Arabidopsis thaliana: one gene and its partners. The protein of the gene in region 1 interacts with the protein of each later gene in a pairwise test. Each region holds a gene or a part of one and is shown in the gene's direction. Other genes may lie near its edges. The genes, in order: ZR3, HB-3, ADT5 and ER.

What was found.
Region 2: the proteins of ZR3 (region 1) and HB-3 interact in a two-hybrid assay, tested with the Arabidopsis thaliana proteins (one large-scale study listed by BioGRID).
Region 3: the proteins of ZR3 (region 1) and ADT5 interact in a two-hybrid assay, tested with the Arabidopsis thaliana proteins (one large-scale study listed by BioGRID).
Region 4: the proteins of ZR3 (region 1) and ER interact in a two-hybrid assay, tested with the Arabidopsis thaliana proteins (one large-scale study listed by BioGRID).

Annotation. Positions count from the first base shown.
Region 1 is NC_003074.8:20,306,840-20,314,345, forward strand, and holds ZR3 (Zim17-type zinc finger protein), read left to right. Parts: upstream 1-3,429; 5' UTR 3,430-3,514; coding exon 3,515-3,683; intron 3,684-4,310; coding exon 4,311-4,813; 3' UTR 4,814-5,015; downstream 5,016-7,506. Other genes in the region: AT3G54830 (Transmembrane amino acid transporter family protein), read right to left, coding at 5,062-5,144, 5,233-5,308, 5,400-5,443, 5,516-5,638, 5,730-5,793, 5,915-6,050, 6,143-6,362, 6,442-6,622 and 2 more.
Region 2 is NC_003071.7:14,338,871-14,347,431, reverse strand, and holds HB-3 (homeobox-3), read left to right. Parts: upstream 1-3,653; 5' UTR 3,654-3,834; coding exon 3,835-3,961; intron 3,962-4,046; coding exon 4,047-4,868; intron 4,869-5,177; coding exon 5,178-5,395; 3' UTR 5,396-5,787; coding exon of another isoform or gene 5,788-5,793; 3' UTR 5,794-6,010; downstream 6,011-8,561. UniProt on the Arabidopsis thaliana protein: Homeodomain transcription factor required for meristem growth and early development. Promotes cell proliferation and prevents premature differentiation in meristematic tissues during postembryonic development.
Region 3 is NC_003076.8:7,520,552-7,528,708, forward strand, and holds ADT5 (arogenate dehydratase 5), read left to right. Parts: upstream 1-3,534; 5' UTR 3,535-4,093; coding exon 4,094-5,371; 3' UTR 5,372-5,719; downstream 5,720-8,157. UniProt on the Arabidopsis thaliana protein: Converts the prephenate produced from the shikimate-chorismate pathway into phenylalanine.
Region 4 is NC_003076.8:3,416,109-3,423,987, reverse strand, and holds ER (enhancer of rudimentary protein), read left to right. Parts: upstream 1-3,295; 5' UTR 3,296-3,431; coding exon 3,432-3,434; intron 3,435-3,687; coding exon 3,688-3,793; intron 3,794-4,236; coding exon 4,237-4,357; intron 4,358-4,991; coding exon 4,992-5,091; 3' UTR 5,092-5,378; downstream 5,379-7,879. Other genes in the region: AT5G10830 (S-adenosyl-L-methionine-dependent methyltransferases superfamily protein), read right to left, coding at 108-257; AT5G10820 (Major facilitator superfamily protein), read left to right, coding at 822-1,481, 1,589-1,693, 1,897-2,067, 2,537-3,112; AT5G10800 (RNA recognition motif (RRM)-containing protein), read left to right, coding at 5,606-5,691, 5,768-5,901, 6,079-6,124, 6,418-6,478, 6,578-6,724, 6,821-6,937, 7,039-7,204, 7,663-7,775. UniProt on the Arabidopsis thaliana protein: May have a role in the cell cycle.

The DNA of each region.
Region 1 (7,506 bases):
TAGTCAAATTCCAAAAGTTTTGGAAGCCACTGCTGCTGAATGGGTGTATTAAGACGCTGCTCCAGTAAATACTTCAAACTTCTTTGATCTGTTATGATCACAAAATGGTCATGTAACAAATAGTGCCTCCATTTCTGAATGGCAAAGACCACTGCCAAAAGCTCCTTCTCATAGATCGATAGGTGAAGTTGTTTGCCTTGTAAATGCCTGCTAATATAAGCCAGTGGATGGCCATTCTGCATCAAAAAGGCACTGATACCCTGACCACAAACATCTGTTTCAACTACAAAGGGTTGATCAAAACGGGGCAAAGCTAATACTGGGGTTGTACACAATGCATGTTTCAGATTCTAAAACGCCACAGTAGCATCGGGAGACCACAAAAATGCATCCTTCTTCGTTAGCAAGGTTAATGGTCTGGCAATAGCTCCAAAATTCTTAACAAAACGGCGGTAATAATTAGCCAAGCCCAGAAAACCCCGTAATTGCTTCAAATTAGTAGGTGCAGGCCATTCCTTCACAGCTAAAACTTTTGATGGATCGGTAGACAGTCCGTCTCTGTCAATAAAATGACCCAAGTACTCGACTCTTGATGTTGCAAACGCACAGTTACTCCGTTTGGCAAATAATTTATGCTCCCTCATTACTTCCAATACCAGTTTTAAGTGCTGCAAATGCTCCTTCTTTGATTTGCTATAGATAAGGATATCATCAAAAAACACCAAGACAAACTTCCTTAGAAACTTTTGAAACACTGAATTCATCAACCCTTGAAAAGTAGCTAGTGCATTGGTCAATCCAAAGGGCATCACCAAATACTCGAAATGACCACTATGAGTCTTGAAAGCAGTCTTGGGAATATCCTTCTCCACCATTCTCACTTGATGATAACCCGCTCTTAGATCAAACTTCGAGAAGATCACTGCCCCACCCAACTCATCCATAAGATCTTCAATAAGAGGAATAGGGAAACAATTCTTCACTGTAATTCCATTCACCTTTCGGTAGTCCACACACAATCTCCAAGAGCCGTCTTTCTTCTTCACTAAAACCACAGGGGAGGCAAATGAACTTGAACTAGGCTGGATGATACCGCTCTCTAACATATCTTTGACAATCTTATCAATCTCATCTTTTTGATGATTAGCATAACGATATGGTCGCATGTTCACCGGATTAGTGCCCTCAATCAAAGGAATTGGATGATCATGATGTGTCCGAGAAGGAGGCAGCCCTTTAGGTTCAGCAAACACATCCTTATACTCATCAAGTAATTGAGAAATAGCAGAAGTAGTACTTGGTGGTGACACCTCTGTTGTTAAAGAAGACAACTGCAACACCTCTCCCTCATCCTCATCAGCGTCTGCAACACACAACATAGACAGCTGAACTTCGGAGTCTCTCAGTTTGTTCAATTTGTCAGCCTTGATAGCACGCACCGACGAAGGCTGAATACCATGTATCATCACCCGTTTCTTATCCCATTTAAACTGCATTGTCAACAATGTGAAATCCCATGTAATAGGACCTAGAGGTTTCAACCAATGTACACCCAAAACTGCATCAATTCCTTTCAAAGGAATTACCATAAAGTCAGCTACAAAAGTCGTGTTATGAATCTCCCACTTAAAATTCTGTATTCTCGCTATCACCTTCAGATTGTAACCATCAGCCACCCGTACTCTTGCATTATCACTAGGTAGGAGTGAGCAACCCAACTTCTTTGCCATTTGAGGATCCATAAAATTGTGAGTGGAACCCGAATCAACCAACATAAAAATGGATCTCTTCTGACTTGTACCCTTAACTCGCATAGTGTTGTAAGTTGAGATACCCTCCATAGCATGAGTTGAGATATGAGCTACTTCCCCAACTAACTCCTTATGCTCTTCTTCTGCATCCAAGAACACTTCCTCAGCATCTTCCATTTCCAAAACAAACAATTGTGTTTTCTTGTGAATCTTATAATGTTCAGATGTGTATTGTTCATCACAAAAATAACACAATCCTTTAGCTCTCCTAGCACTCATCTCTTCAGTAGATAAGAACCGCCTTGGCTGATTTTGTTGTGTGTCTCTTGGTTTTTCCTGAAACGCTGGTTTATTGCCCTGCTGCTCCATGTCTTTCTTAAAGGAGAACTGGCCCTTTGAAGTAGCCTTATTGTTCTTCCAAGAAGTCGCATTGTTCTGCACAGGATGAGCAGTTTCATAGAGACGTCCCAACATCAAACACTGCCGCACCGTTTGGGGTTGAAACATTCGGATATGCATCTGTGTCTCAATCCTTAACCCAACCAAATACGCACTCACTAAATAATCCTCCGTCATCCTTACTCGAGTCCGGATCGCCTCAAACTTTGCGTGATAGTCATCAATGCTAGCAGCTGTTTCCTGCAACTTCTTCAGCTCAGCAATAGGATCCTCTCCAACCATCTCAAACCTCTCCCTGATCCTAGCTTTGTACACACCCCACTCAGGAACCTGCACTTCATCCTCAATCATATTCTGGTGCCAAGTAGCAGCCAGACCATCCAAATGAATAGAAACTACAGACACTCGCATCTCTTCAGGTATAGGATCCACCGCAAAAAATTGATCAACCTTAAACAACCATTCCTTAACCTTCTCACCACTGAATCTGGGAAAATCCAACTTCCCTAACCTTGTTACTCCCGAATGATTGTTAGCGTGACCTTGCCTTCTCATGTAATCCACGTCTGTTGCTGAAGCGGATGAAGCACGAGCTGTTTGATGAGTCTCACCCAGATTTGACTGCTTAGATGGAGACAGCATGTGGATCGCCTCAAACATCTCCGAGATATGGCGCTCGATCTTCAGATTTTGAGCATCGATCTTGCTCTCGATCTTCTCCATCTGTGACTCCATCGATTCCTCTGCTTCTAACGCCTTCTCTCGACGAGCTTGAGCTAACTCCTGAGCTCGAGTCTCGATCACCATCTCCGAGAAACGTCTTTGCTCTGATACCTTTAATACAGTAAAACCACACCACAACACAATCAATCAACCAAAGCAATCATCAACAACTCCGATTACTTATTATTACGATGTAAATAACAAATGAAATCCAATGTTCATAAAACAAGGGATTTCTGGATTCACCTCGCAAGAATCGACGTTCTATGCAGAGGATGAATCTCGGAATGTTTTCAGAGAGAAAGGAATAACAACAACTTCAACGATAACATGAAAATACGATGACACTTGATATTTATTAGCTTCAGCTCTACGCACACTTAATTTGAATCACAGCCGTCCATTGATCTTCTAATCACAGCCGTCCACGTGGCCTTACTCAATATCCTGTATCACACACATTATTCTCCTGCTTGTTCTGATTTTTTTTTTCTTTTTTCTTTTCTAGATAAGATTTCAATTCACAAATTTCTTTTTCCTCACGTAAAAAAAAGAAGAAAAAGGTCGGTCTACTTGTGGCTCACTCAGTGGTTCGAACCTGGGTTTAGATTTTGACTTGACCATAACGAAAACTAACTCTAATGATTAAAAAGGCTTCTTTTATTGTGCTCCGATTCCAAAATTTCACGGAAAATAGAAGCGTCGAGTTCCTCCTCTCCCTCAGGTTGTCAATGGCCGCTAGGTTACTTGCTTTGAGACGCGCTTTGTCTCTTTTCAGCAACCAACAACATCGTTTTCCTTTGTCTCAAGGTTTCATCTCTCTCCTTCTCAACTTTGTCATCTTTAAGAAAAATTAAAGAGTTATTGAAAATCGGGCACTAGAGTTAAACTGGTCTCTTAATCTGTGTAATTTATACTTGCCTTGATGTTTCTTTTGATGAATTTGGTTGAGATTCATGTAAATTTGTGGTTTTTATGTTTGAATTTACACTAGAAGAGGATTTTGGGGAGATTTTGGTTTTAGGGTTGTTTTTGTAGCTTTTAGAGATTTGGGGCATTAGTGATGATGAGTACTCGTATTCTCATGTGTATATCATCTAATATCGTCTTTGCTCTGTTACATTTTGGAGTTAGAGAAGTGCTTCTACGAAACCTGAAGTTATGAATGCTCACATAAGTGCTTTGTCTTCAACATATCTCTATGCATTAAGCAGTAGCTGTGAACATTGGCATTTCAGCTAGACGCTGGTTAAGTTTTCAAGTTTGGTTATATATTTCCTGACTAAGATGTGTTAGCATTAGTCTACGGTTTGATGCAAACATTATCCTAGGAGGTTCCTATGATGTCCTGTTATGGTACAGACTGTTTTAGCTTCGTGCAACTACAACTACTGTTAAATTGATCTTTCTTGATTATCTTTTTTTTTTTGAAAATAGTCTCAACAGAGCAGTTGTCGCTATCAAACTCACTCTTCAGCAGAAGTCATGTTTATGGAAGATTATTTCAGAGACAGTTATCTGTAATCCGTGAGGCAAATGAAGCTTCTGTAACCAATGTCTGCAACTCGTCAAACTCTGCTACTGAATCGGCCAAAGTTCCCTCCCCTGCGACGCCCTCTGAGGAAATGATGGTGAAGTACAAGTCCCAGTTAAAAATAAACCCGAGGCATGACTTCATGATGGTCTTCACTTGCAAGGTCTGTGATACAAGATCTATGAAGATGGCGAGCCGAGAATCATATGAAAACGGCGTTGTGGTGGTACGATGTGGAGGGTGTGATAATCTACATTTGATTGCAGACCGTCGTGGTTGGTTTGGAGAACCAGGAAGCGTGGAGGACTTCCTTGCTTCTCAAGGGGAAGAATTCAAGAAAGGATCCATGGATTCTCTTAACCTAACTCCTGAAGATTTAGCTGGAGGAAAGATTTCTACTGAATAAGGAGTGATCTTCTTTGCTTTTGCTACTTAACCATTATGGAACAGAACTTCACCTTATGTTCCAGTATTATAATTGTTTCTTGTAGTTCACTGTTTGGTAACATTTAAATGCAGAAGATGTTTAATACAATTATGTGTTTGGAATGTTCCATATAGGTTGAGATGTTCCATTGATTTAAGACAGAAACAAAATCTCAAGAGAAACAAAATAAGAATCTCAAGATTGATCAGTTTTAGGTGTTCAACTTCTCAATGATCTTTGCAAGGGCTGAATATGTGCCAATGACTGAACATACTGCTCCTACTGTCATAATTAAGATACAGATTGTCACCTGCAAACAAACCACAGATTGTTATATCGATTTCAGTTTGAGGAATTTCGATATTCGGTTTGGTTATCAGTAAGTGAGCAGGCCATACCTGAGTAGGGGTTACTTTTTTCCTTAAGATGCTCAAGAAACAAGCTGGCGGTAGTATCAGCGTCTGTGTCCAGAAACTTTGTCAGGCTAAGCAAATTCACTATGAAACTGCAATATGAGAATTTGCTTTACATAACCAGAAAAGGATGAAACAAATGTGTAACTTACAATGAGCATTGTCAAGAATGATCCAATCAGTGACATGACAAGGCCTGCAAGAATTCTGAGTGTCAAAAGAAGTGACACTTATTTTCTTTACATGTATATTTTTCGTTTGTCCTTACCGAAGAAGGGAATCGCAAGACCAACGAGCAGAGTAGAGATGGCTAATGCACTTCTAATGGCGATTGCGTAGAAACGTGACTTCCCATAGTTTGATGGTATTAACTCCTCAAGACTCATTGCAACTGGAGATAATGTCAAAGCATATGTGCTTTCTTTCTATTAAGGCCACACAATTTTCAGTTTATATTATGAATAAGCTTATGACAAAATTACAGAGATAAATGAAAAGTCTCTGAATATTTCTTGATAAAGGATATTTGGTAAATGGATTAACAACCTGCAAAAAAGGCAAGGAAAAAAACTCTTAGATGACCTCACCTGGCTAGCTACCAAATTTAGTGAAAATCATCCCAACTTTCATGTAATAAGCAGAGGAAGGGTGAAAAAAAAAAACTTACTGTAGTCCACAAAGCAATCTTAGATGCAACCAAATCTTGAGGCAAGTTAAGAGTAAACTGTGATTCTGTTGATTCTCCAAACATGCTATATCCCATAACAGCAACACCCGCATACATAAGAGTACAAATTCCAAAACTGTGAAAAAAAAATAAAAATTGATACTGTCAGTAAAAGATAGAAATGTAGAGAGTTCCTAAGATGTGTAATGTCTTTATATTTAAGCTTACGATGCCAAGAGAACAGCAGAAAATTGAGATGGTTTGGCCATTGAAGTGTAAATATTAGGGAAAACACCATGTCCTGAGTAACAATAACCATAGAGTCCTACAGAAACCGGTAATGTTGCGAGGTTTAGTGGAGTTCCTTTGCTGTGAATACCAACATCATCAACCAAACCAACCCAAAACAAGCACAAAACCACCAACACTGATGCAATCACCCCTCCAGCTGCAAGATCAAGGTTAAGATATTCACATATATGAAAAAAGAATCTTTAAAAGGTCCTTTTAGATTGAATGTTTTATACCTGAAATGTAACTTAGTACGCTGAGATCTCGAAGCCAAACGGTTGGGAGAACAGCGAGGGTGGTAAGCAGAGCAAATAGACGAGGCGCATCTAAGTGAAACCCTCCAATACTTAGACTAGCATTTGGAAACATTGATGAAAGATTATCACCTTCCAATATTATGTATTCAACACTCATAGCCTGCATGCAAAATGAACTTGTGTCAAACTTTGTGTAACTTTACCATAACTTGTATCAAACTTTGTGTAACTTTACCATATCATAGGAACATTCAGAATTTCTCTCTAGACAAATATTTCAATGTGTAGTTGATGAATTTCAACATTTTCTTATACTAAAAACCAAATATTTCATTTATGAAACAAGAGAGAGGGAAACAATATGGACCGTGGGCAAAGGTGTTGTCTACTCCACATGTGGTCCATTGTTTTGACTTGAGATTCATTTTAGGTACTTATTTTGAAACTTTCAAAAATGTATTTTGTCTTTATCTATATAATATAACGAAAATTATTGGAGGAATTGCAAGTTGTTCTTACATATAACTCCATATAGAGTATTACCTGCAATCAAAAGAAAGATAATTGTAAAATATTGTCACAAGTGATATATAATAACCCTCAAATTAACAATGTATAGATGAGTAGATTTTCTTTACTTACGGAGACCAGGATGCGGCCGGTGGAACCAAAAGCGGCATGGCCAATATCAGGATAGGTCTGGACATCGGGGTGGCTGTCGAGGCAGTACCGCAGAAGCAAACCGGTGTAAAAACAAAGAATACCAAATGCAAAGAGAATGATAAGTCCCAACCATCCTCCTTCCTTCACAGCATATGGTGTTGACAATATTCCAACCCCACATAAAACATTCACTCCTGCACATGTATCTCATCACTCAGAGAATTTTAACTAGTTAAGGTTTACATAGTGTCAGTGAACAGAGCAGACTTGTCAGTTATTTTTCTGTTATTCACAAGTTTTGATACTATTGTCTCTTAGTTAATAACTTTTGTTTTAAAAAGGACTAAAGTGTTTTATTTTTTTGCTGGACAAAATGTAAGA
Region 2 (8,561 bases), on another chromosome or scaffold:
ATTAATTTGAAAAAATGTATTTTTATGAGATTCATATGAATACATTTCACACTGTAAAATATTATATTTTATAGTCGAGGTCTATTCTAGTTAGTGTGTAATTTATTTTAATGGTTTCATATATACAAAGCTCTAATCTGATTATAATCTCACTCAAACATATATGCGTGGTGTGAGGGAGAGATATATATTAGTAGGATTTGTGTATCTGAACCCAATTAACAGAACATATCTGAATATTTGTTATCAAAATATTAAGGAAATCATGAAGAGCCATAATTGCTTAAAAAAAACAAAGCAAAAGATAATTGTGGGAAGTGAAAGTGGCAACTTCTCCGCACTTTGTGCTATAAGTGCTAACTTCACATTGTGCCCCATGCTCATTTTTAAACTGTTGCATTCCAACTCTAACTATGAACTTATGTTTTCATTCATGATTCATCATGCGTTAGTTATTTTGTGAAATTTCCTGGCTACAAAGAAAATACAATTATTTTCCAAAATAAAATAGTTGGATGTACTTTGTTGAGCTTTTAAGGTTTTCATTCGCTTGTAGTGGTCCCAATATGTAAAACACATGTCAAAATTGATTGCCGTTTGAACATCCCACTGAAATCTAGGGTTCCTCCATGACGCCAATACTATTTTTCTGATAAAATTGAAAGAAAATATATTGTATACCTAAGCAAACGTATAAATGTACCACAGCATATGAAGAATTCAGAGACTGAGCCTCTGTTATTTATGAAAAGATGGTTAAAGTACAATTCCAATCCAATAGCTTATGAAATGATAGATTTTGAAACTATTTTATTATAACAAGATAAACCTAGATACTCCCAAAAACATATAGGAAAAATTCAGGCTGTATGTTAATCACTTCGACGTTTCTTATAACCAAAAATTAAACGCAGGATATGTTAATTAGTAACTTTTTTTTGGTATGTAGATTGTCATGGAAAAATCTTCTTAATTAGTAAATTAACTTGAAAAACTTATAGTACATCGAATTGTTTGTTGTTGTTTTTTTTTTCAATCAAAACGAATTGTTTATTGTTTCATAAGAATAGATGGAAATATAGATATTTAAATGGTTGCATTGATCGCCATTTTCTGATTCAGCCGAAGTTAAGCTGCAAAGGCCCGAGCACCAAAACAGCCTAAACATATATTTTATATTTTAATTTTAAGAACAAATAAAATACTACTATATCCACATAACTAAAATATCTTTATTTTTTTGCTTAAAAATAAGGCCATAAATTGTTTTGCTTTGGAATCCTTAATAATCTTGGACCAGTCCTTGGAACGAGACTTTGCAATGTTACTTACAGATCTAGTTAACACTGATAACCGCTTGTGTTAAATGGAGATGCCACATTTTGTTTTGATTTATTTGCATCCTATCACAAAGTTATGATTTATAAACTAAGACTGTTTAGCATTGTCCCATAGTCCCATTCAATAGTTAGTCTTTTAAATAAAGCTCACATTTAGTTTTTTTTTTTTGTCTGATAAAAAAGGCTCCATTTAGTTTATATTTGAAATAAATGCAGATGAAAAGAATCTTAATATTTCAAAAGAAACTGAAGAATTATTAATACGTTATTAAAGGGAACGATCATCAACAAAGACCCTCGAGTCAATCCAAAAAAAAATGACCTTAATTTCTTTGCAATTACTATACACCACCACCCATCCTGACCTCTTAAAATTTCGTATTTTCCCCATTAATACATGTTTCTTTTTTCCGTACTATTACATCACAAAACTCCTAAAATCGTGTTTGCTAATTTGATTATGACTATTCCTACGTCCAAACAAACCATTTGCTCCCCATCCGAATTTAAGGCCGATGCCCCGAAGGTGACCGAGAGAATCCTCTTCTGCACAGACTGAAAATCCAGAAACTACATGATTTTATTTTTTTGTAATACAAGCAAATAATAAAAACCCATCTTGTTATAGTTAATAAATAAACATAAAATGTGAGAAAATTTACAATCTTTCTGTCTTGTTTTAATTAATGTTTTTTTTTGAGATGTCAGAGGAGAAAATAATAAAAAGGAGAAAAAATCCTAGTTCAGAACCAAACATGGATCACTTTCAAAGAATCTGTTGTTTCAATTTCTGAAGAAATTTGTGTTCGTACGTTTGAACTGCAGAAGCAGTTTGGAGTTTAATGCAAGAAGTGTAAGGAAGTGAGGCATGGGGTTGCATTAATGATCACTTTGAGTTTCTTCCTGTCTCTTACTGTTTTCTATCTCAGAAATTGATATTAGGAATGTGAATAACAAAACAAACGAATGAAATACCATGCAAACTCTAATATGGATGTAGTAACAGAAAATCTGTATTGCTCTACTAATTAAATTTTTTAATTTAGTAATATGAATTCAGAGTCTATTAGTATAAACCTAAAGTAAACAGAAATTTTTGGAGTGCGCTTCAAATACCCTTGTAAAATTACAGATGACTTTGTATGGCAACTTTTTAAAATTGCTAAAATAATTTCTTATAATAAATATTGAATATTTTTAAATAATTCAGTACCCACTCTATAAATCTATATAACTAGTCTCTCTCTTTTTTTTTTTTTTTGGGCACATATAACTAGTCTCTCTATCAGTTATTTTCATATGGATTTTGGATTTTTTTGTACATATATGAAAAACACAAATGATAAAATTATTTAATGGTATTAAGCATTCGCCACAGGGTATGCTATCAATTTGGTCATTTGTGAGTGAGATTGATATGGTTTGGGGCTAATTCAGTGAAGCTCCTTCGGACTCTCAAAGTGGTTTATTAGACAGTGTGAATGCATGCGGTCTTCTATTTGTTTGCGAGGCTAAAAGAAACGCTCATGATACACAACTAATCAAATGACTGTTGAAGAAATTTAAGATTTCCAAAATTGTCTTCTTCTATTTGTTATTGAAGTATTGGTCAATCCATCAGTGATTTAACGTTATAGCAATATAGGCTACTCGTCGACTAGCACATTTTGACGTACTTAAATACTAACCTTGTCACTCTTTTTTTAATACTGTAATAATGCCTTTTGAATTTCCATTGGTGATATACACATTTTCCCACTAGATGACACTAAAGGGAACTAACCCCTAAAACAGTTTTTATTTTATCATAATTGAACCATGACAAGCAAAACTGGATTCAAATCTAAAATGTCAAAGTGCTCCTCATAATCTATATATAAGCGATCAAAGACCTTCTATAGAATTAATAAATTTACTTTTTAATGCAATTTTTTTTGTTCAAAACTATTTAATGCAAGTATGCAACTAAATCATACTGTTTGACTGAAGTAGTTAATAATAAAACGTAATGAAAACAGTGTTCCTATTTTCTTTTATAACATTTCTGTTAATAGGATTTAGCCTACTTCTCTAATTCATTTGATTCCCTAAACAAGAGAAGTAGTGATAGTTTTTTTTGTCTTTACTAAACATATACACATAATGATATAGATACACATCTATACATCATAGATAGATACATAGATATAGAGAGAAAGAGAAATGGTGTATAGAAATATGGGTGAGACTTTAAATTAAATTTATGTAAAAGAGATGAATGAATATATGAAAACAGGTTGGGTAGGTGAAGAGAGGCTATAAGAGGGAGAGAAAGAGGTCGTAACCCTTTTGCCCTATTCACATTTTTATTTATCTTTCCATTTAGCCATTCTGTTCCCTGTCTCTTCCTCCTCTCTTTTTGACACATCACATCATCATCACATCATCATTCAACATCAATCATCATCATATGCATACACATACATCTGTGTTCTGCGGATCGAGTTAATTAGTTATGGCTTCTTCGAATAGACACTGGCCAAGCATGTTCAAGTCCAAACCTCATCCCCATCAATGGCAACATGACATCAACTCTCCTCTCTTGCCTTCTGCTTCTCACCGATCTTCTCCTTTCTCTTCAGGTCCTTCTACTTCTACATATTTACCAATTCAAAACTAAATTTTGTTTTAAAGAACTCTTATCTGATGAGATTGTGAATTTTTTAGGATGTGAAGTGGAGAGGAGTCCAGAGCCAAAACCAAGATGGAATCCAAAGCCAGAGCAGATTCGGATACTTGAAGCAATCTTTAACTCCGGGATGGTGAATCCTCCAAGAGAGGAGATCAGGAGGATTAGGGCTCAGCTTCAAGAATACGGCCAAGTCGGTGATGCTAACGTCTTCTACTGGTTCCAAAACCGTAAGTCCCGTAGTAAACACAAACTCCGCCTCCTCCACAACCACTCCAAACACTCTCTCCCTCAAACGCAACCGCAGCCGCAGCCGCAACCTTCGGCTTCCTCTTCCTCTTCCTCCTCCTCTTCCTCCTCCAAATCCACCAAACCCCGAAAAAGCAAGAACAAGAACAACACTAATCTCTCTTTGGGTGGTAGTCAAATGATGGGGATGTTTCCACCGGAACCGGCGTTTCTCTTCCCGGTCTCCACTGTCGGAGGGTTTGAAGGTATCACCGTCTCATCCCAATTAGGGTTTCTCTCCGGTGATATGATTGAGCAACAAAAACCGGCTCCAACGTGTACCGGACTCCTGCTGAGTGAGATCATGAACGGTAGTGTGAGTTATGGAACTCATCATCAACAACACTTGAGTGAGAAAGAAGTTGAAGAAATGAGGATGAAGATGTTGCAACAGCCACAGACTCAGATTTGTTACGCTACCACTAATCATCAAATAGCTTCTTACAACAACAACAACAACAACAATAACATCATGCTTCATATTCCTCCCACTACTTCTACTGCCACCACTATTACTACTTCGCATTCTCTCGCTACTGTCCCATCAACTTCGGACCAGCTTCAAGTTCAAGGTAATGTTAATATATAAAGTTATCACCCTTTTTAAGTTATAGATTACTTATATACATGTTGAAATTTTACTCAATCGTAGAGATACATTAATTTTGTGTCAACAATGTAAGGGACACATTGATCCATACAAATCTTTTTTTAAAACCTTCATGTTTAGTAGCCTTTAGATGATTCTTTATTTCTATATACCCTCTCTCTCTTTCTTGAAAATAGATTGTGTGAGCTTTACAATTTTGTTTTATATAGATTGTTATAGTCATTATACTAACATGAAATAATGGGATAACAATGGCTAAATATGGATGCAGCGGACGCACGAATAAGAGTTTTCATCAATGAAATGGAGCTTGAAGTGAGCTCAGGACCGTTCAATGTGAGGGATGCATTTGGGGAAGAGGTTGTTCTGATTAATTCCGCGGGTCAGCCCATTGTCACCGATGAATATGGCGTCGCTCTTCACCCTCTTCAACACGGAGCCTCGTACTATCTGGTTTTGTTTCCTCTCTATTTTCCTTTGTTATACTAATTAAGGTTCCACTATAGCTAGATACTACTCTATCGGTTAAATAAACTATGGTAAAATGAATACTTATTTAATGTCTATATAATTATAGTTTATACATCTATATTAGTACTAGTTTATTTCTTCATTGGGATCTAAAATGGATAAATGCATGCGAGAGACATGTTGTTTGGCTTAGGTCAACAATGTTGACTCAATCTAATTTAATTACACACACACACCTTGCGCTTCTTTAGAGCATTCATTGGGGTTTTTTTTCTTTTTTTGGCCTTCGTGTATTTTGACTTTTGTAGTATAAATTCTAATACTACCATATTTCGGAGGATGTGCCTGCATGTGTGTGTATATAATTGTTTATGTGATTTAATTTCGAGGTCTCTTTTCTGCTTTTGCAGATCTAGTCGTGTGGGAGATTTGAGTTTGAAGAAGAAATTAAGACCTGTCTCTTTCTTTCACCATCTCTCGTACGTAGGCTTAAATGTTAAGATTTTATAAAGTATTGGTTTCAGTTACCTGTTGTGACGGTGTTTATGTATGAGTTTCGGACAACATTCACAAAACTCTCTCGTTAAATTGTTGACCAATAATATATGATGTGTGTTTCATTATTATCTAAAGAAATCTATAATGTTGTTCTGTTTCTTCTTCTTGAAAAATTGATTATATATGTGGAATTGTTAAACAATGCGCTAATATGGGGATGAGTAATGTAGAAGCATCACATCACCCAGTGTGAAAGTGAATTAGGTCATGCGTTATGTTTAGTGTTTAGACTGTGATGTAAGGTTTACATGCGGGAAGTAGGGAACTTTGACTACAGTTCACGTGTGAGGTGATATTTCACTTTAATCCCGGGGATTAAAACGTTACATTAATATAATTATTATACTACACCTAATCCATCCCCTCTTCAGAAATGCATTATTACACTAATATAATTATTAATTATAAATTATAGACGGTTCACTCATTTTTATATAAAAAATCAATAAATAAATATGTACTCTATCAAATATATTACCCTTTAAAATTAAAAATGTATGAAAATTCGATTTCAAAGATGATTTAGTTCTTTTAATATAAAAATGCGTCGAATGATGATAGTACGAAAAAAATAGTTTCAGTTATTTTAGATAAAATTAATTAGTAAATATTGCTTTGAACTACACAATGCATGGAATCAATTAAGTAATTTGTAATGCCAAAAACAAAACAATTCATTTATATTGAAATTATGCTAATTAACAATAGTTGATATTCATAGCCACGTTATGAATTTTTGTATAATCTGAATTCAGAGTTAATATATAATCTGAATATTTTTTCATCAAAAGAAAACAAATTTTTTTTATAAAATAAATAAGTAACGTATCAAAGTTAGGAAACAGAGTTTTTGACAGTCAGTTGATAAGATCCTTTGCTTTGAAGTTTTAACTCTCGATTCGATACTAATATTTTACCTTGTTGCAATGTAATATTTTTTTTCTTTTTCTTGCTGCAATGTTTATGGAGTATTCAAGGGAATTAAAGAGAATAAAACGCTGGTAAATAATTGTAGTTGAATGCAAAGAAGGTCTAGCTAGGTAGGGGCTTTGTTAGATCAAATCAGATGTCAAAAGAGCATAATAAAAATGTAATATCAAATCACACAAATGTTTCTCAATAAAAACATGGTCCTACAGTCCTACTTTCTACTGTTTGACTGTTTCCTTCATCTTGTCGCTTTAACGTTATCTTTACCCATGCTTATATTATTTTCTTTTATCTACAAAACAACATTTAATTTGCACCCATTTCCTTACTAAATATAATTATAATTAAAACTAGAAACCTAAACAATGTTCTCACATAGTTAATTTATCACCGCATTATTATTATTGATCATATAATAACTCATCATTTATAGTTTAGCACAATGCAACATATTACGTCTTAAAAATATGTGAAGTTAAGAATAAGTTATCATTAAGTTTGGACATCTGATTGTCCGTATAGACAACTTGTTGTCACTGTCTACGCTGCCGTGTGCACTTAATAGTTAAAAACCAACAAAATCTATGTATTGTAACAACTGGGGGGTAAAAAGCTATGTATAGTAACATAATAATATCATAACGGAACCAAATCGATATTGTTGTGTTTAAAAAGGAACTATTGGCCTTTTCCCCAATTAAAGTAGAAAATTACGATCGCAGTTTAGAAGTTATCACGAAAACAAATGAGATTAAAGAGTGTAAATAGAAATCTATGAAGTGACAAGAAAGAAAAAATAGAAAGCTAAGAGAAAGAGACAAACAAAAAAATAGGTTCAGAAGAGTGTTGACCAGAGGAACTGTGGATTCACCAACAAGTGGGACAAACTTTCTCTTACGTCCAAAACTGACACAACAGTATATTAACTCTTTCTCCTCATCATGATGAATCATATTCATATGACACTCACTCCATGTTCACTCTCTGCTCTCTCTCAATATATATTTCTTTTTCTATAGCCCAAGATGTTAATATTGATAAACCTATAATGATTTAGATCTCTTGTAATATAAGCGAGATGTTGCGAATGATAAGGATAAGATATATGAATCTACAACTAGATCTCATGTTGCAGTATCTTGTAGCCTTGCCTAGAGTCGTAGGTGAGACTCTAAAGAATTTTATGATTAAGAAAAAACAATTTTTATCATAAACTATACTGTAATAATATGAGGTCCTTTTCATTCAAAGTATATACTGGGATTACTATGTATAAACTTGGACAAGGCCAATATTAACATATCTAGCTTGAGTCTTCAAAAAATAAGAGATTCTTATTTTTCAATTTGTTAACCATATAATATCATGTTATCAGATTTCAAATATCAAAAATAATGATATCGATCACCTTTGCATTTGTTTCACCAAATTCGTTTTATCACAATTAGATGTTCCTTTCAATTGAAAATAAACAATATACTTAAGGAACAAATTAACTGAATTACAGAGAAAACTAGTTCAAGTTTTTTTTTTTTTTTTTTTTTAACTAGTTTAAGTTTAATTTGTTTTGTTTTTCTCTTTTCAAAGAACCCATCCATAACCATACACATATTATATAGCCATTTTATTTTGCGTTTTTCAGTACTTTCACTTTTTAGATTTTTAAGAACCTTTGAATTTGTAATGTATAAACATA
Region 3 (8,157 bases), on another chromosome or scaffold:
AAAAAAATACAATGATACTATGTTATTAAAAGGAAATAGCACAATTTTGCACGAATTCGGAAAACATTTGGGGAAAATCGTGAATTTTTGTTTGCCTTTATATATGATTTTTAACTGGAATTATTCCGAAATGTTCATAGTTTCATAATCTCATCAAGATTTAAAACTAAATTCTGAACACTTGTTAAAGATTCAGGTAAATTTTGTTGTAATATTGTATGTTTTGTTTCTTGAATTTTGGTTAGATCACCCCTTTCTGAATTTGTACGATCATTTATCAAACGCAATTAAACATATTCGTTTGGCATTTATTGTCGATTGCAACCAAAAGCTGATCTTGCATATTAGTTTTGTTCGTTTTGTACTTCTTGTTATATGTTGTCAGATTTTAAATGGGTTGACATGAAAATTTTGGTCACAGACTCGTACAATTTATCGACACATATAAACAACATTTAATTGTGGTTGATGGAAACGAACATGTCTATTATCATTTTTCGATAAAGTACCACTCAGTATAAAAATATTATCATTTGTGGTGAGGACAAAAAACTAAAACATAAAAACCACAATTTTCCTTGACCAACAAACAAAAACCCCCACAAATGGTAATACAATTTTACCTTTTTACGTATTACGAAACGAAGCTTACCATCAGAGACTCTTGTAGCCAAAAGAGAAGCAAACGAGATAATTGAAAATAACAAGGTTCACGTGCCGTATTAGTGGGACTTGGTTACTTTATTCACATTTTGCAAAGACGTAGAACCTTCAATACTAACGTGAACATGTAACACGTGCATCTTCTAAGTTAATATGAAGTCAATTTTGTCAACAAGAAATAAAGTCAATAGTACAAATATTTTTATAATCCATTTTCACTGGTTTGGTCTCGGTTTGATTTGTTTAGGTTTGGAAATATTCTTACCAATCTAAGTAATTAACTATGACTTTATTTTTCCTATCGTACTTTGGTACTCTTTGGGTTGGTCTGTGGTGAAAAAAAACTATCAACTATAGACTTAGAAAAAGAATTGTAGAAAAATGTTAATTCTTTTCAAGATAAAATGAGTTGTTTTGGTTTGAAACAAAAGCGAACCTAAACCTGGTGGTAAGAGAAAAGCACTACCGAAAATTTGAAATCGAACCCCTTAATTAGTTCTTCCATTTTAGAGATTTCCATATACGTTAATCATATGCTACAAATGGTTGAATTTCTTATAATTTTATTTTATAAAATTGAACGATATATCTTATCCATTAATCAAAGTTAAAATCCCACCAAATCTTTTTTGTTTTCTCAGATCATCGTGCGCACTGCGCATGCTAGCTATGTTAACGTTAGGAAAACAAATTGTACGTAAAGGTTTGAGAAACAATTGATCTGATAGGTGAATTTAGACAAACATGCCATTCTCTTTTCGATATGGCATGAAACTGGTAGAAAGAAATTTGCCATTTTTTAGTTATGTATTTTTTCGCATATTCCTACCATTTTGCTAATTAAAGGTGTAATTTAGAACGAGATATAGGTCATGATAAAAAAAAAAGGTAAAAATAAAGTCGCTAATCATATTTGACAACAAAGTTAAAAAAAGATTTTCAAACGTTAATCAAGAGTCAAGACAGATGAAAAGAAATGTAGAAAGGATCAATTCAGCATGCTTAGGTGCAATGTTAGATAGTCCCACTTGGGTTTCACCAACTTTGCCATATTAAACCTTTACAAGTTTATGAATTAAAAAAGGTTTCAACAACCCCATCGATAAATCTTTTACGGCCAACAATTGCTTGTTGATTGTTTACTTATGTTATAAAACGATATTATTTTCAATATATTATGAATATGTGTTTTCTTTTTTCAAAACGAAGAAAATAAACTAGAAATATTTATATTAGAAGCTGGGCTTCACTTTTGAGACCTGAGGTCACACCTATATATCTTTAACTTTAACGAGAAGAAACATATATATGACACACGAATTACATAATCGTGGCATATTGGAGCTGTTGTTACTTGTTAAGTTGTCAGTGATTCTTTTATTTCCTGCATTCTAATAATTTATTATACATAATATTTCGGTATAATTTAGTACATAAACTTATATTAGCGTCATAATTTTTTAGTATAAATTAGTATGTAAACTTTTTGTTAGCATCACTGCATCACATGAGAATCTCTTTTTCTCATTGATAAATGGCTTAATCAATGGGTTAAAAAGTAGGGTATGCAATCAATATACATTCTATTAGAGTTAGAGATATAGATTATATATATCTTAGGATAATCTACATCCACAAATATGTCTCACTAGATTTTTGTATGTCTTATGTGTTGTCATATGATAAAACACTAAATTAGATGTATTACCTACATATATGTCTCTCTAGTTCTTTGTGTGTATGTGGTTGTTCGAGTTGGGCCACTGTACTAGGTTTCCTTCAATGGTGCAGATCGATCAGGTTTGTTCGAGTGGGTTGCTGTACTAGGTTTCCTTCAATGGTGCAAATCAGGTTTATTCTGATTTCTGAGGCTAGTATAATCTAGCTTCTTAAGGAAAAACCCACTTTATGTTTTAAATTTTTTTGAGCCATACAATTATTTATTTATTGTTAGGCGACTAATTAATTATTGATTAATGTATGAAGATAAACAAAAAAGGTATATAAGAGCATATATTTTAAAGATATTAAGGATATAGATCGATCACTCTCATAATCTTAATTATGTATATAAAGATTTATTTTTAAAACACCCAAAATTGAAAATTGAAAGTCTGCATCCACATAAACTTAAAACTAAAGAAAGGTTGGTTTGAAAGATCAAATCAGGTGAACCAGGTCTCATTGTATAGGCTTATGGTTTAGATTATTGTTCGGAGTGAAAATAATATGGTATATATATATATGGTTTAATTATTGTTGGGTTTAAAATAAATAATTAACTAGTTTGACTACCATAAATAATATGTGATATATTTATCAATTTATATTAAGTATTTTATACAAGAGAATACATCTAAATTTTAAAATGAAAAAAAATAATATACGAATGTAAATATCCAAATTTAGGGAGCGATATGGATTGGACCATGTTCCATGGATACCTTTGCACATATAGTTCGTCTTCTAACTTTTAAAATTATATTATTTTATCATTTGAAAAGGTTATTATAGTTTTTTTGGGTTATTATATCAAAATGACAACTTATGCTAAATGTTTCTTCTTACTATTTTCATTCTAGGAATTTTTTACAATCATTATCCAGTACTAGACTCATATCCCATGCATGAATTTTATTCGGTAATTATTTACAATGTGTAGATAGAGAAACAATAATAATGGGGATCAACAATTTGACTATATGATAAAAATCGATCTTTGTCTTCATTCAAAAGAAAAACCTTAACCAATAAATAACCACCACATAGTTACTTGATACTAAATTACTAATCCACATATTCATACACATGGTCTCTTTTTTTAATATGGTTCTTTTAGTTACCTTGTTTAGTAATCTAGTTTTAAGGATAAAATTTAGAAAATCAAAATAGAAACTTGAAAACATAGCAAAATCTCGAAAGAACGTTAGCATTCGATTATGAGACCACATATGCAAAGCTGCCACGTATGGTCCATTTATCCATAAATCTGCTAATGACATTATCTTATTATGAAAAAAGATCTTTACTCACAATTAGCAGCAATAAATCTTTAAAAGGCCTCCACTGATTAACACGTACCGAGAAATTCACCATTTTTTTCCTAACAAAGCAAAGTGAACATATTCAAATAAAAACAACTTTATAATATAAACAACAAATATCGTTCAGGAAAATCAAATGAAATGTGGTAGGTGAAGGATTTGACGGAACTACCCTTCAAGACACGTCAAGACTTTCTTTCTTTTACAACATTCCACTATATAAACACTTCCTTCTCCACCATCATCTCTCAGCTTGCAAGTTCTCTCTGAACCATAGAACTCCAAGCTTGAACTGTACTCTACTCGTCGTTTATATCTTACTCTTTTGTTTCCTCTTACCAGAAAAAATAAATAAACAGCAATTTTTTCATTTTTCGACTCAAATCATGCAAACCATTTCGCCTGCGTTCTCGTGCGATCTCAAATCCGTAATTCAACCGAATCTAACGGCTAAGAAAGCGCGTTACTCTCACGTAAATGGAAAGCGCGTGTCTGTTCGTTGCAGTTACAGGTCTGAGTCGTTTAGCTTCCCTAACGGTGTTGGCTCAAGCCGAGCCGATTGGCAAAGCTCATGCGCCATCTTAGCCAGTAAAGTAGTTTCGGCTGAGAATTCAAGCTCCGTCGCCGTCGTTAACGGACACAGTAACGGCTCCGTTGATTTAAGCCTTGTTCCGTCAAAGTCGCAGCACAACGGAAAGCCTGGATTGATTCAGCCGTTAACGATAACAGATCTATCTCCCGCGCCGTCTCATGGATCTACTCTTCGTGTCGCGTATCAAGGAGTTCCGGGAGCGTACTCCGAAGCGGCCGCCGGAAAAGCTTACCCAAACTCCGAAGCTATTCCTTGTGATCAATTCGACGTTGCGTTTCAGGCGGTGGAGCTTTGGATCGCCGATCGTGCTGTTCTCCCAGTTGAGAACTCTCTCGGTGGTTCGATTCATAGAAATTACGATCTTCTCCTCCGTCACCGTCTCCACATCGTCGGAGAAGTTCAGATCCCGGTTCACCACTGTCTCTTAGCTCTTCCCGGAGTTCGTACGGATTGCATCACGCGAGTGATTTCGCATCCTCAAGCTCTGGCTCAGACGGAAGGATCGCTCAACAAACTCACTCCAAAAGCAGCGATTGAAGCGTTTCACGACACAGCCGCGGCGGCGGAATACATCGCTGCTAACAACCTCCACGACACGGCGGCGGTAGCGAGCGCAAGAGCAGCTGAGCTCTACGGACTTCAGATTCTCGCCGACGGGATCCAAGACGACGCAGGAAACGTCACGCGCTTCCTTATGTTGGCGCGTGATCCGATCATTCCCCGTACCGATCGTCCGTTTAAAACGAGTATCGTTTTCGCAGCTCAAGAACATAAAGGAACTAGCGTTTTATTCAAAGTGCTTTCCGCGTTTGCGTTTCGAAACATTAGTTTGACGAAAATCGAATCGCGGCCGCATCAGAATTGTCCCGTTAGAGTCGTAGGCGACGAAAACGTTGGAACATCGAAGCACTTTGAGTACACATTCTACGTCGACTTCGAAGCGTCGATGGCGGAGGCGCGTGCACAAAACGCGTTAGCGGAGGTGCAAGAGTACACGTCATTCCTCAGGGTGCTGGGAAGTTACCCAATGGATATGACGCCATGGTCCACGTTACCTAGCGAAGACGTATGACACAATTAAAAAATTTATCTGAATTTTAAATAACATTATGGTAAAATTATCATAAGTAAAATACATGGAAACTAAAGTAGAATTTGTAGAACTCGTTTTGCATGTGAAGTGGGAGGATAATATTATTTTATTTCTCTTAAACCAAATATTTTGTGTGTATGTATTTGCTACTATTGGAACAAGACCGGTTTGTAGTTTGGTTCTGATGATTACAATTGAAGATATTTCTTAAGCTAAGCACATTTTAATTCTCATATTTTTTTCGTAGTAAAAATTAGAGAACCTAATATATACCTTAATTTGTAACGGAATTTGTTATAGCAGAATCATTAACAATAATCTTTGAAGCTATGCTCTAAGACTCCCCACGTACGTTAACCAACAGAACAAGAAAGACTTTCAGATTCTAAACTATAAAGTTATTAAATTACAAGTTATATTACAAAAGTCGAAATTAATGTGTGAACACGAGTTCGGTTTGATGTTTCTTGCTTTGAAACAAAAGTATAATCATCCATCTGGTCGTGTATATACGTACTATGCCAACTTCCATGAATTTTCACTGATTAGTTTATTAAAGTTCTCAACTATCTTCAGGAAATTCAGTTCGAGTTGCTAAAGAATTGGGCATATAATTTCCACGAAACTTTGCATTTGATAGATAATTTAACATGACTTGACTATTTATACTAGATATGTGTAATTTCCCACCTATCTTTTAGGGTCTAAACATTTTTGCATGCCAAAAGAGTTAGGTGTGGTGGAAGCTACCATATGCTCTTAACATCCATCTTCTAGAATTATAATCTTCGATTGTAAGCCTGAACATTTTCATTTTTATGAGATATTTAAATTTTTAGCAAAACAAAAAATTGGCATATGAGTTTCTTTGTACATGTTTCTTAAGCTGTACTTTTAAAGTTGTAGACAATGTTACAATATTTCATGTACAGTTTCTTTATCTTCATGCCGTGGAGTTATGTTTTTACTTTTTAGGTTGTGCAACACTGAAAAATAAGGGTTCTAATATAAATGGATTCATATTTTAAAATCAATTTTTGTAGCATGTAGAGCGGTAAGAACTATTAATCAAGCTCAAAATTATGAAAATTTGTATTTGCTGCAATGTTGAAAATATGATCATCATATTAAAATATTATTATTAAGAGGTTCTTATTAATTCACATTTCCACAAGTAATGTTTATTGTTTTGGCACAATGGTGTCAGATCTTGCGTGGTGTCCTGGTGTCCTAATATCGTACATGTATAAACTATAAAAGTCTTCCACCGTACTAATTAATTAATGTTTAACTTGTTAATGAGAAGACAAAGTTGCCAACTAAAAGGTAACCAATAACTAATTTAAAAGAGAGTAGTCTTGGTCATAAGTCATAACTCATAAAAATGAAGATCACGAACTGATTTGAGCATTTAGTGGGTCCTTGATGGTTATCATCGAGATGAAGTGAATCTTGTCATGGCGGGTTATTATACTCATAAACACTAATGATATATTTGAAATAGTAGTTAAATTACATTTCATGAGGGACAAATATGATGACGGTATAATTATGTCAATTGACCGTAAAGAGTTTGGTGGCAGATAGAACTGGTCGGAAATCTAACATACCAAAGGATTATTACAACCTCGTCATGTTTTTGTTACAACCTTTTAATTAATGTTCTTAGTTTATACCCTAAGTTATTACAACCTCGTCATGTTTTTAGTGGTCGTATAGACTTTGTTCTTAGCATTTTAGGTTTCATATTAGTTTGATGTAAGCTTGCATTATCATTTCTCAACTACAACTCGAAATTAGATCTAGTTACATTGGGGAAACAAAATTCTACCTGTAAATTATTTAAACCTATTCTTGGATTTTGACGAAACCAGCATTAATGTTGTCGTCTCTTAAGATATTAGAAATAGGATTAAACACTTCCATCGTCATATTGTTTGAAAGCAACTTGATAATGATCACAGACAAAGATGATTAAAAACACTTACATTATCACATATACTAAATTGATGTTATTATAATTAATTATAGAAGGGTTGATTAATTAAGAGAAATGGCGAAATCAGGAGTGGGGTGGTAGGTGGGAGAAAGAGAGGTCGAGCACACTGTGGTAGTTGGTGAGTGTGTGGGGGAGCCTTGTACTTAGGTTTTGCCGACTTCTTTAGATTCCGGTTAAGCTTTTGGTTTTGGTTCCGGTTTAAGTTAGAGATCTTAAATTAGTGATTATACAAGAAATCTCATGTAGTAATATTATTCTATTTGTGGTCCAAGATATGGCATAAGATTTAACGAAAGAATTGAATGTTATAATGTGTTGCAAGTAGAAGCTTTTTACGCTTTTAATTAATGTTCTTAGTTTATACCCTAAAGTTATGAAGACAAATAGCAGCCTAGCCCTCGATGGCTCGATCAATTTTTATCTTATATTTCTCATTGTTCATTGTTATTCCGTTATATTTCTAGTATCGCGAAACTGGTTTCAGGTGACAAATTGAAAGTCAAGTGATCAATGAAGAAATATTTGGCTTCAATATGTATTTTCTACGATTTTATTTTCTTAAGATGTAGCTTATCTAACTACTGCAGAAAAATGTATACACGTAAATCATGTGATGAGCTTTGTTTTCAACGTGAAATATCTCGTTCCAAAAAATAAGAATTTTATTTTTCCATTATGTTGTAGTTGTTTTCAGACAGCATTTTCCACTCCACTTAAAGAGTTCTCGAACTTATTCAATGATTGGTCATGTGAGGCTGTGGCATAT
Region 4 (7,879 bases), on another chromosome or scaffold:
AATCCAAGATCTGATGCATGTTGTTGTGATCATTTACGAGCAAGAAGCTAAATCTGTTAAATCTAAGTTTGAAGCTCTATAAAAATTTATGAGCATCAAATACTGACGGCGAGAGCTGCTTGGCCATTTCCGGTGGCAGCATCCCAGGCTAAACCGTGGTGATCGGTGAGATCAGCGAGCTTCGAGAACCACTCAGAGGGGTAATTAGGTCTGGCGTCAAGGTATAGATCGGCTTGTTTATCAAACAATCCTGCCATTTTCTCTCTGTTTTGCTTCTTCTTTTCTTTCTCTCTTTTTTCTGATTAGTGTCTAGCCATGACTCTCTAGTCATATATAGTAGTCTTTTTAGCTTGTGGGAATCTCAAAGATAATGACCTCCAACGAAGCAGCATATCGCTTTCCTTCTCTATTTTTTAATTGGATTTTGAAGTAATTGTTTAGGTGTTTGTTGATGTTGATTAGGATTTTTGAGTTTCGGTGGGAAGATGAAACATTTGACTTTCTCTTTTTGCTTTCAAGATCTGTCAATCATACTATCGAGTTTGTGAATTTTGGCTAATAAAGCGATTTGGTTTCGTTTTTGTAGAATTTCAGACTGGTAGTTGAAGAAAGACGTCATTGCTTACAAAGTCAACAAGGTAAATGTCATTGTCAAGTGGGAAACTTTATAATATATCTTTTGTTTTTCCTCGTGTGTGAATGTCTAAACCTTTTTGAAAGTCTAAAAGGCATTTCCTTTACATTGAAAATAACGATTAAAGGCTCTTGCTCTCGATATTTTGATTTCAGATCCAATGTTCATCTCCTAAACAGTCAACACCATGGAAACACTAGAAACTGAGAAATTCTTCTCAGACGATAAACCTCTCCTAAAACCAATTTCAGATCATTCTGAGATCAAGACAAAAGCAAGAAGAAACGCTGTCGTCTCAGTTCTAATTCAGCCCTTCCAATGGTTACAAATGCTGAGTTCTAGGCTAAACCTGAGCTTCGTGCTAGGTGTGGTCCTTGTGTACGGTGTAAACCAAGGGTTCTCTGGTTCGATATTCAAAGTCGTCACAGACTATTACTGGAAAGATGTCCAGCAAGTGCAGCCATCGGTTGTGCAGCTTTACATGGGGTTATATTACATTCCATGGGTCATGAGACCCATTTGGGGTCTCTTCACCGATGTGTTCCCTATCAAAGGTTACAAAAGAAAGCCGTATTTTGTAGTTTCTGGTGTTCTTGGTTTGGTATCTGCGATTGCTATTGTTGTTCTTGGTAAGTTGCCCGCTGCTTTGGCTTTGAGCTGCCTCTTAGGTGTCTCTGCAGCTATGGCCATTGCAGATGTGGTGATTGATGCGTGTATAGCAACAAACAGCATCAATATCCGATCTTTGGCTCCTGATATACAGAGCCTTTGTATGGTTTGTTCATCTGCTGGCGCTTTGGTTGGATACGCAACTAGTGGAGTCTTCGTTCACCAGCTTGGACCTCAGGTTGAGCCTTTACACCTTTTTAGTCACGTTTTCAGGACGTGTTCCCTTTAGATATCGAGATTAGAAACTTGAAATCTCGTTTTTCTGTTTTGTTTTTTCTGATATAGGGAGCATTAGGGGTATTAGCATTTTCGCCTGCAACTATCGTCATACTTGGGTTTTTCATCTACGAGAAAAGATCTTCTACTGTTCCTACACAAAAGACCAAAAAGGTGAGGCCTTAGCCTGTAATCTCAACTCCTTTGATCTCTCTCACAAGTGACCAGAATTGGCGTCGCAGCAGAATAATCCAAACAGAAATTTTCCTTGTCTTTATTTGTTTCTGCCGGATTATTGAAAATTCATGCCTCTTGACTTTATCTCATGACTTGGAATCTTGATCGAACTCTTGAGCAATCGTTTGAATTTTCTTCAGGACACAGATGGCTTAGGAGTAGCGGTGAAGGGAATGTGCAAAACAGTAAAGTACCCTGAAGTGTGGAAGCCATCTCTTTACATGTTCATATCCTTAGCTCTCAACATCAGCACTCATGAAGGCCACTTCTACTGGTACACTGATCCTACAGCTGGGCCCGCCTTTTCCCAGGTTGGTTGTACAATCCTGAAGAAGCTCTTTTTAAAGATCTTGATTTAAAGAATAAAGATAGTGGTTAAACAGTTTGGGTCTTATATAGATTGAGTTCATAGGAACCAGTATAGTTACTAAACGACATGGGAAGCTAGCAAAAACAGGTTCCCATGGATCGCAAGCTCAAGATTGACACTGTGGTAGTATGTCATGATATTATGTGAATCATATTTCAGACTGTTTCGCTGGTTTATATTAATCTCCATGGAGTCACTTCTCTTGAAAGCCTATTTTAGCTAGGAAAAATCTTGTCTTTAGGTTTGTGAATATCTGCATGCCTTATGAAATGGTGTTGAAATTATGATTGTGTGGTAGTGTCACATTGACATATAAAGCTATGGAGTTTCTGAACAAGCTAATAAAATTCTTTATCCAATAATGTAATTATGAGCTAGATTCAAACTTGCTTATTTTGGTCTAAATGCAGGAGTTTGTGGGAATAATCTATGCAGTCGGGGCATTGGCATCTATGTTTGGAGTTCTCATATATCACAAGAAGCTCAAAGGCTATTCCTTTAGGAACATACTCTTCTTTGCACAACTTCTATACGTCTTCTCAGGAATGCTTGATCTAGTCTTCATCAAACGCTGGAACTTAACTCTCGGGATACCAGATTCCTTGTTTGTGATAACCGAAGAATCTTTCACGAAGATGATAAGTAAGATCAGGTGGATCCCCATGGTGGTTCTCAGTACAAGGCTTTGTCCTCTGGGAATCGAAGGCACCTTCTTTGCTTTCCTCATGTGCATTGATAGTTTTGGACAGCTTGCTTCTAAATGGGGTGGAGGGTTTGTTCTTCACGCTTTTGGTGTCACGAGACACGATTTCGGAAATCTCTGGCTCGTGATTCTGATAAGGAATATTTTGAGACTCGTCACTGTGTGTTTCGTTTTCCTCGTTCCAGATTCCGATCATTTGGATGATCTTGTACCTTCTGATGTGTTGCCAAAGAAACAATCAGAAGATGATGATGATGACGACATTAAACTTTTGCTTCTGTAAAGCTATTTTGTATAACATGAAACATTTCGAACAGTAAATGCCTAACATGAACAATTTCAAAGAAACAAAATCTACTAATCAGATGGAAACAGCTTGTAGTTTTTTCATATTTTAAAGGAAATACATGCCGTTTTGTCGTACTATATCTGATGTCACATGTTAAGCGACAGAGACCCTATGTTATTTTACGATTTTGCCCTCTTGTTGGGTTATACAGTATTCGTTTTTCTCTCTCAAACAGTGAAACTTCTTCTTCTTCTTCTCGTCTTCGTCGTCTAAACCTCAAACTCTGCTAGCGAAGTCACAATATCACTCGAAGATGGTAATCGATTTCTTCTCCTAACGTTCCTTTTGTGTAGTTTTAGTGATTCCTTAGTCAATCGCGAAGAAATTTGAGCAAATCCTTTTGGTTAGATCGTGTTAGGTTTTCGAATATCGTTCCTTACGCAGTTTGAATCTCAGTTTCTGATGATTTCTCGTTAGTTTACGGAACATAGAGAAGGAAATTCAAACTTGTTTTGATTGTCTCAGTTCTTATAAGCTGACTATTATCAACTTTCTTCTTTGTTGTGTAGGCTAATCACAACAGTAGTAGGCACACAATCATCTTGTTGCAGAATTCTCCGAGCAGAGCTACGAGGACTTTCATGGACTATGACTCTATAGGCCAAGCTATGGATGGTAATTATTAATTTCGAATCATCATTCTCTAACTAGTCTACTCATTGTTGACTTTGGTTATGATTATGTTGAGGTTTATCTTTGTGGCAACAAGATGGATGATTTTGAATTACGACATGTATATTATATAATTCTGTAGCTATTTCTGTGACTTATTAGGAAGTTCAGATTTTAGTACCAGTGCTATAAGCTGATTGATATATAGTGTGTGATGAGTCTGCTCGGTAATAAAGTGGTAATAAAGTGGTTTGTATTTTGATTACTAACTTGTTTGCTCAATAAAGTGGAGGAATTAGCAATGTAGAAGAAATGTAGGTTTCTTAAGTTCATTACCTCTCTTCCGAGTGTTTAAGTGAATTAAGGAAGCTGTTTTTTTGTTTTTGGTTTTGTAGAAGCAATAAGTTTTTAGCTTGCAACGCTGATTTTTTTCTGGTCGTAAACAGGTATTTGCGGCTTATATGAAAGGAAGTTGAAGGAAATTAACCCTTCTCTCAGAAATATTAGCTATGACATTGCTGACCTTTACAATTTTATTGATGGTCTTGCTGACTTGAGCGCTTTGGTGTAAGTCTTGCCCCTTTCTCTTCTCTTAAATGCTTTAGGTCCTTCCAGGTACTGTCAAATTCACATCACCCTTTCACATTTTTACATAAACTAAAAGGAGGATCCACATTGCATCATCTATAAAGAGCATGAATTGTGTTTATTCTTACTCTTTCCCTCTAAATAATAGTATTCTGTTCCCACTCATACCATTCTTTTGAATTCCTGGATGTTTTGGTAGTCGTTAAAAACATTTAGGAATGTTTAAACTCAAAGCTGCAACAGGCACATGCACAGTTGTTCTTTTGCAAAGAAACTTTCTTCAGAAATTCTCTCTTAATATTCGATAAACTGCATATATCTTGTTCTTAACTAGTTCTCCACTTGCAAGTTCACAGTAGATATTATAGAAATCTCTTGCTAGTAATGTTTATAGAGATTAGTAGGATTCCCATGTTGTATAACAAAACTGTCAATGATCATTTAATTGCTAGTTTGCTACTAAGTTCATTGATAGCTTGGTGCTAATTAAACAAGTAAAGAATCATTATTAGTATCATGATTTTCCTAAAAAGATGGTTATTGCGTGTGAATCGTGAAGGGATTTGTCAATGTTCTTATGATTTTCTAACAAAATCCTCTGGTCATTTTGCAGCTATGACCACTCGATAAGTGCATATCTGCCATATGACAGGCAATGGATTAAGCAGAAGGCATTTCACCATCTGAAGAGAATTGCCAATGGAGGCAGATGAAGAAGAAGCATCATATGAAATTGTCTTACCTGAAGAAACATATGTTGAGAGAGGCCATTTAAAGCATCATCACTCGTTATTATATATATTTGCCAATGTAACATTAATTAATATGCATAGAAAGAGTTGTGGTTCTCTTGGATGTGTTAGCCACTAAAAGTATCTTTGCTATCCAAATTTTAAGCTCATTTCTAGTTTCTATATCAAATTCTTCTTCTCAAATTGATGAGATATTTTGAATCGTCCTCGACTAGAAATTATATCATACTTCGTATAAAGTAATCTTTTTGTTAATAAGTAATCTGATGATATAAGATTTGTAAATTTTAAGTGAACAAAAAAAGAGTGTGTATTATTCTCTTTACCAAGAAAAAAACTGGGTTAAGACTGAACTCTGAAGAAGGTATTTTCTGGAGCATTTTAACCTTTATCTCTCAATCTGCGTTGAGACTAGAGACCATTTTGGTGCCGTGCTATTATCGATTGACAAATTTCCGATTCTGAGAAAAGTTGGATGGTGAAAGATGAGTTCTTTCTCGATCACCCTGGAAGAAAACACCGTTCCAGAAACACAGAGAAGAAGAAGAAGCCAAGAAGAAGGTTTGTTTCTTCTTTTCTTAGCTACCAAAATCCTCAATAGCCTCTATTGGTTTGAATAAATTTATGGTAAATGCAGAGAGCGGAGGATGAAACAGCTCGTCTGTATCAAGAGTCCGTGGAATCGTTTCAAGGGGATAATGCTGCAGCTAAGACTTTTGTTAGAGGTGACAATCAATCCCAATGATAATAAGCTCAAGCCTGATTCTCAAGGTTAGTCTCTTGGAAACCCGACATTGCTTCATCTAGTAGAACTGGAGGCTAGTTTTTCTGTGTTTCATTGAATTGTTTTGATCATGTAGATTGGTAGAATTATGTTTCTATTACATTGAGAAACATGTTAATTAAAAAAAGTATGGACGTTTTCTTCTATGCATTCACGGATCACAGGTGAAAAGTCCAGAGATGGGGATTCCATTTCAAAGAAGGGGAGTAGGTATAACTGTGATTGCTTTTGATTAATCAATCTCTGTCATATCTAATTTCTAGTGTAGGCCTCTTTGATGTGTTTGTTACAATGCTAGAGTTAATTCCATTTCTCTTGTGTTTGTGATGTTTTGGAGTACAATAAACTTCTGTCATCTGCACATAGCAGTTAGCTGAGGTTTCCTACTTCATCAGTATAAACTGTGGGTTTTGAGATGTTGTCCATGCGTATGGCTTGATAAGTTAAAACCAATGTCCATGCTCTTGTGATATAGAAGATTGTCTTCCATGTAATTTCTACAGGTATGTTCCCTCCTTTCTCCCCCCACCATTGGCATCTAAGGGTAAAGGACCAGAGAATAAGGTCAGTAGTTAGAGACCATATCAGTATTTTATATTATTCTGGTTCCTGATTTAAAGTAATGGTTTAACTGATTATTAGTACAATTTTTCCTCTTTCTAGAGGGATGAAGAGAGATCAAAGGAGATGGAAAAGGGAAAGACTCGAAACATAGATCATTTTGTGGAGGAGCTCAAGCGTGAACAAGAAATAAGAGAAAGGCGAAACCAGGATCGCGAGAATTCCCGTGACCATAATAGTGATAACACGGTATGTCGTCATAGTCTTTACTTTTAACCAAATACGTACTGTTGTTTATTTAGAGATACGTACTGCTTTCTGGTATTAAGGCTGTACTTCTCTCAGTCATCTAGCCGCTTTGATGAGCTACCTGATTATTTTGATCCCAGTGGAAGGTTAGGGTCATTGGACGATGGTGACCCACAAACTACAAATCTATATGTTGTGAATCTTTCATCTAAGGTTTGTTCTCATCCAACTTAAATACCTGCGTTGTTTTCCATAGCTATATATCATAATTTTCTTCCCTTGCCTAAAACTTTTGTGGTATTGTCTTTTTTTAGGTTGATGAAAATTTTCTTCTGCGGACTTTTGGAAGATTTGGGCCAATAGCTAGTGTTAAAATTATGTGGCCAAGAACAGAGGAGGAGAAAAGGCGAGAAAGGCATTGTGGCTTTGTTGCTTTCATGAATAGAGCCGACGGAGAAGCTGCAAAAGAGAAAATGCAAGGTTAGCTATACCGTTCAGTATGGAACTGTGTATGTTCATGCGAGGTTCTCAACTTAAATACGTTCGCAGTGTACAATATGATAAAAGAGCAAAAGATGAAGATTATTTCTAGATTTGTTTTCTCAGGTTCCTGCATAGCGATAGCATTTTAACTAAAACTTCAGATCAGCATATTTTAGTAGGTTCTTTAGTGCAAAGCCTGACTTTTCTTATAAGAAATTGCTTTAACGTGTTCAGTTGAAGGCATACGTAAAGAGTTCATTGTTTGGTCAGTGTTACTGCTTTTGTTTGGTGCTTCCATTTTTTCTTTCTTCATTTATACAATGTTGAAAACTACTGCCTCCTAACAATATAGAAATTTATTAATATTTGACTATCTGATTTGATAATAAATGTGCTTCCTTGATGCATGTGCTATGATTTGCAAGACACTAAATATTTTTTACTCCATTTCACAGGGATCATTGTGTATGAGTATGAGCTGAAAATTGGATGGGGTAAAGTAGTTTTTCTGCCATCACAAGCACTACCAGCTCCACCTCCTGGGCATATGGCAATCCGGAGTAAGGAGGTCTGTGGCAGTTAGTTGCTCCTTTGAGATTCATTTTATCCCTGAATGTGACTGTTGCGTCGTTTCATTTCAATACATTTAGATTTAGTTCATGACGGCTGCTT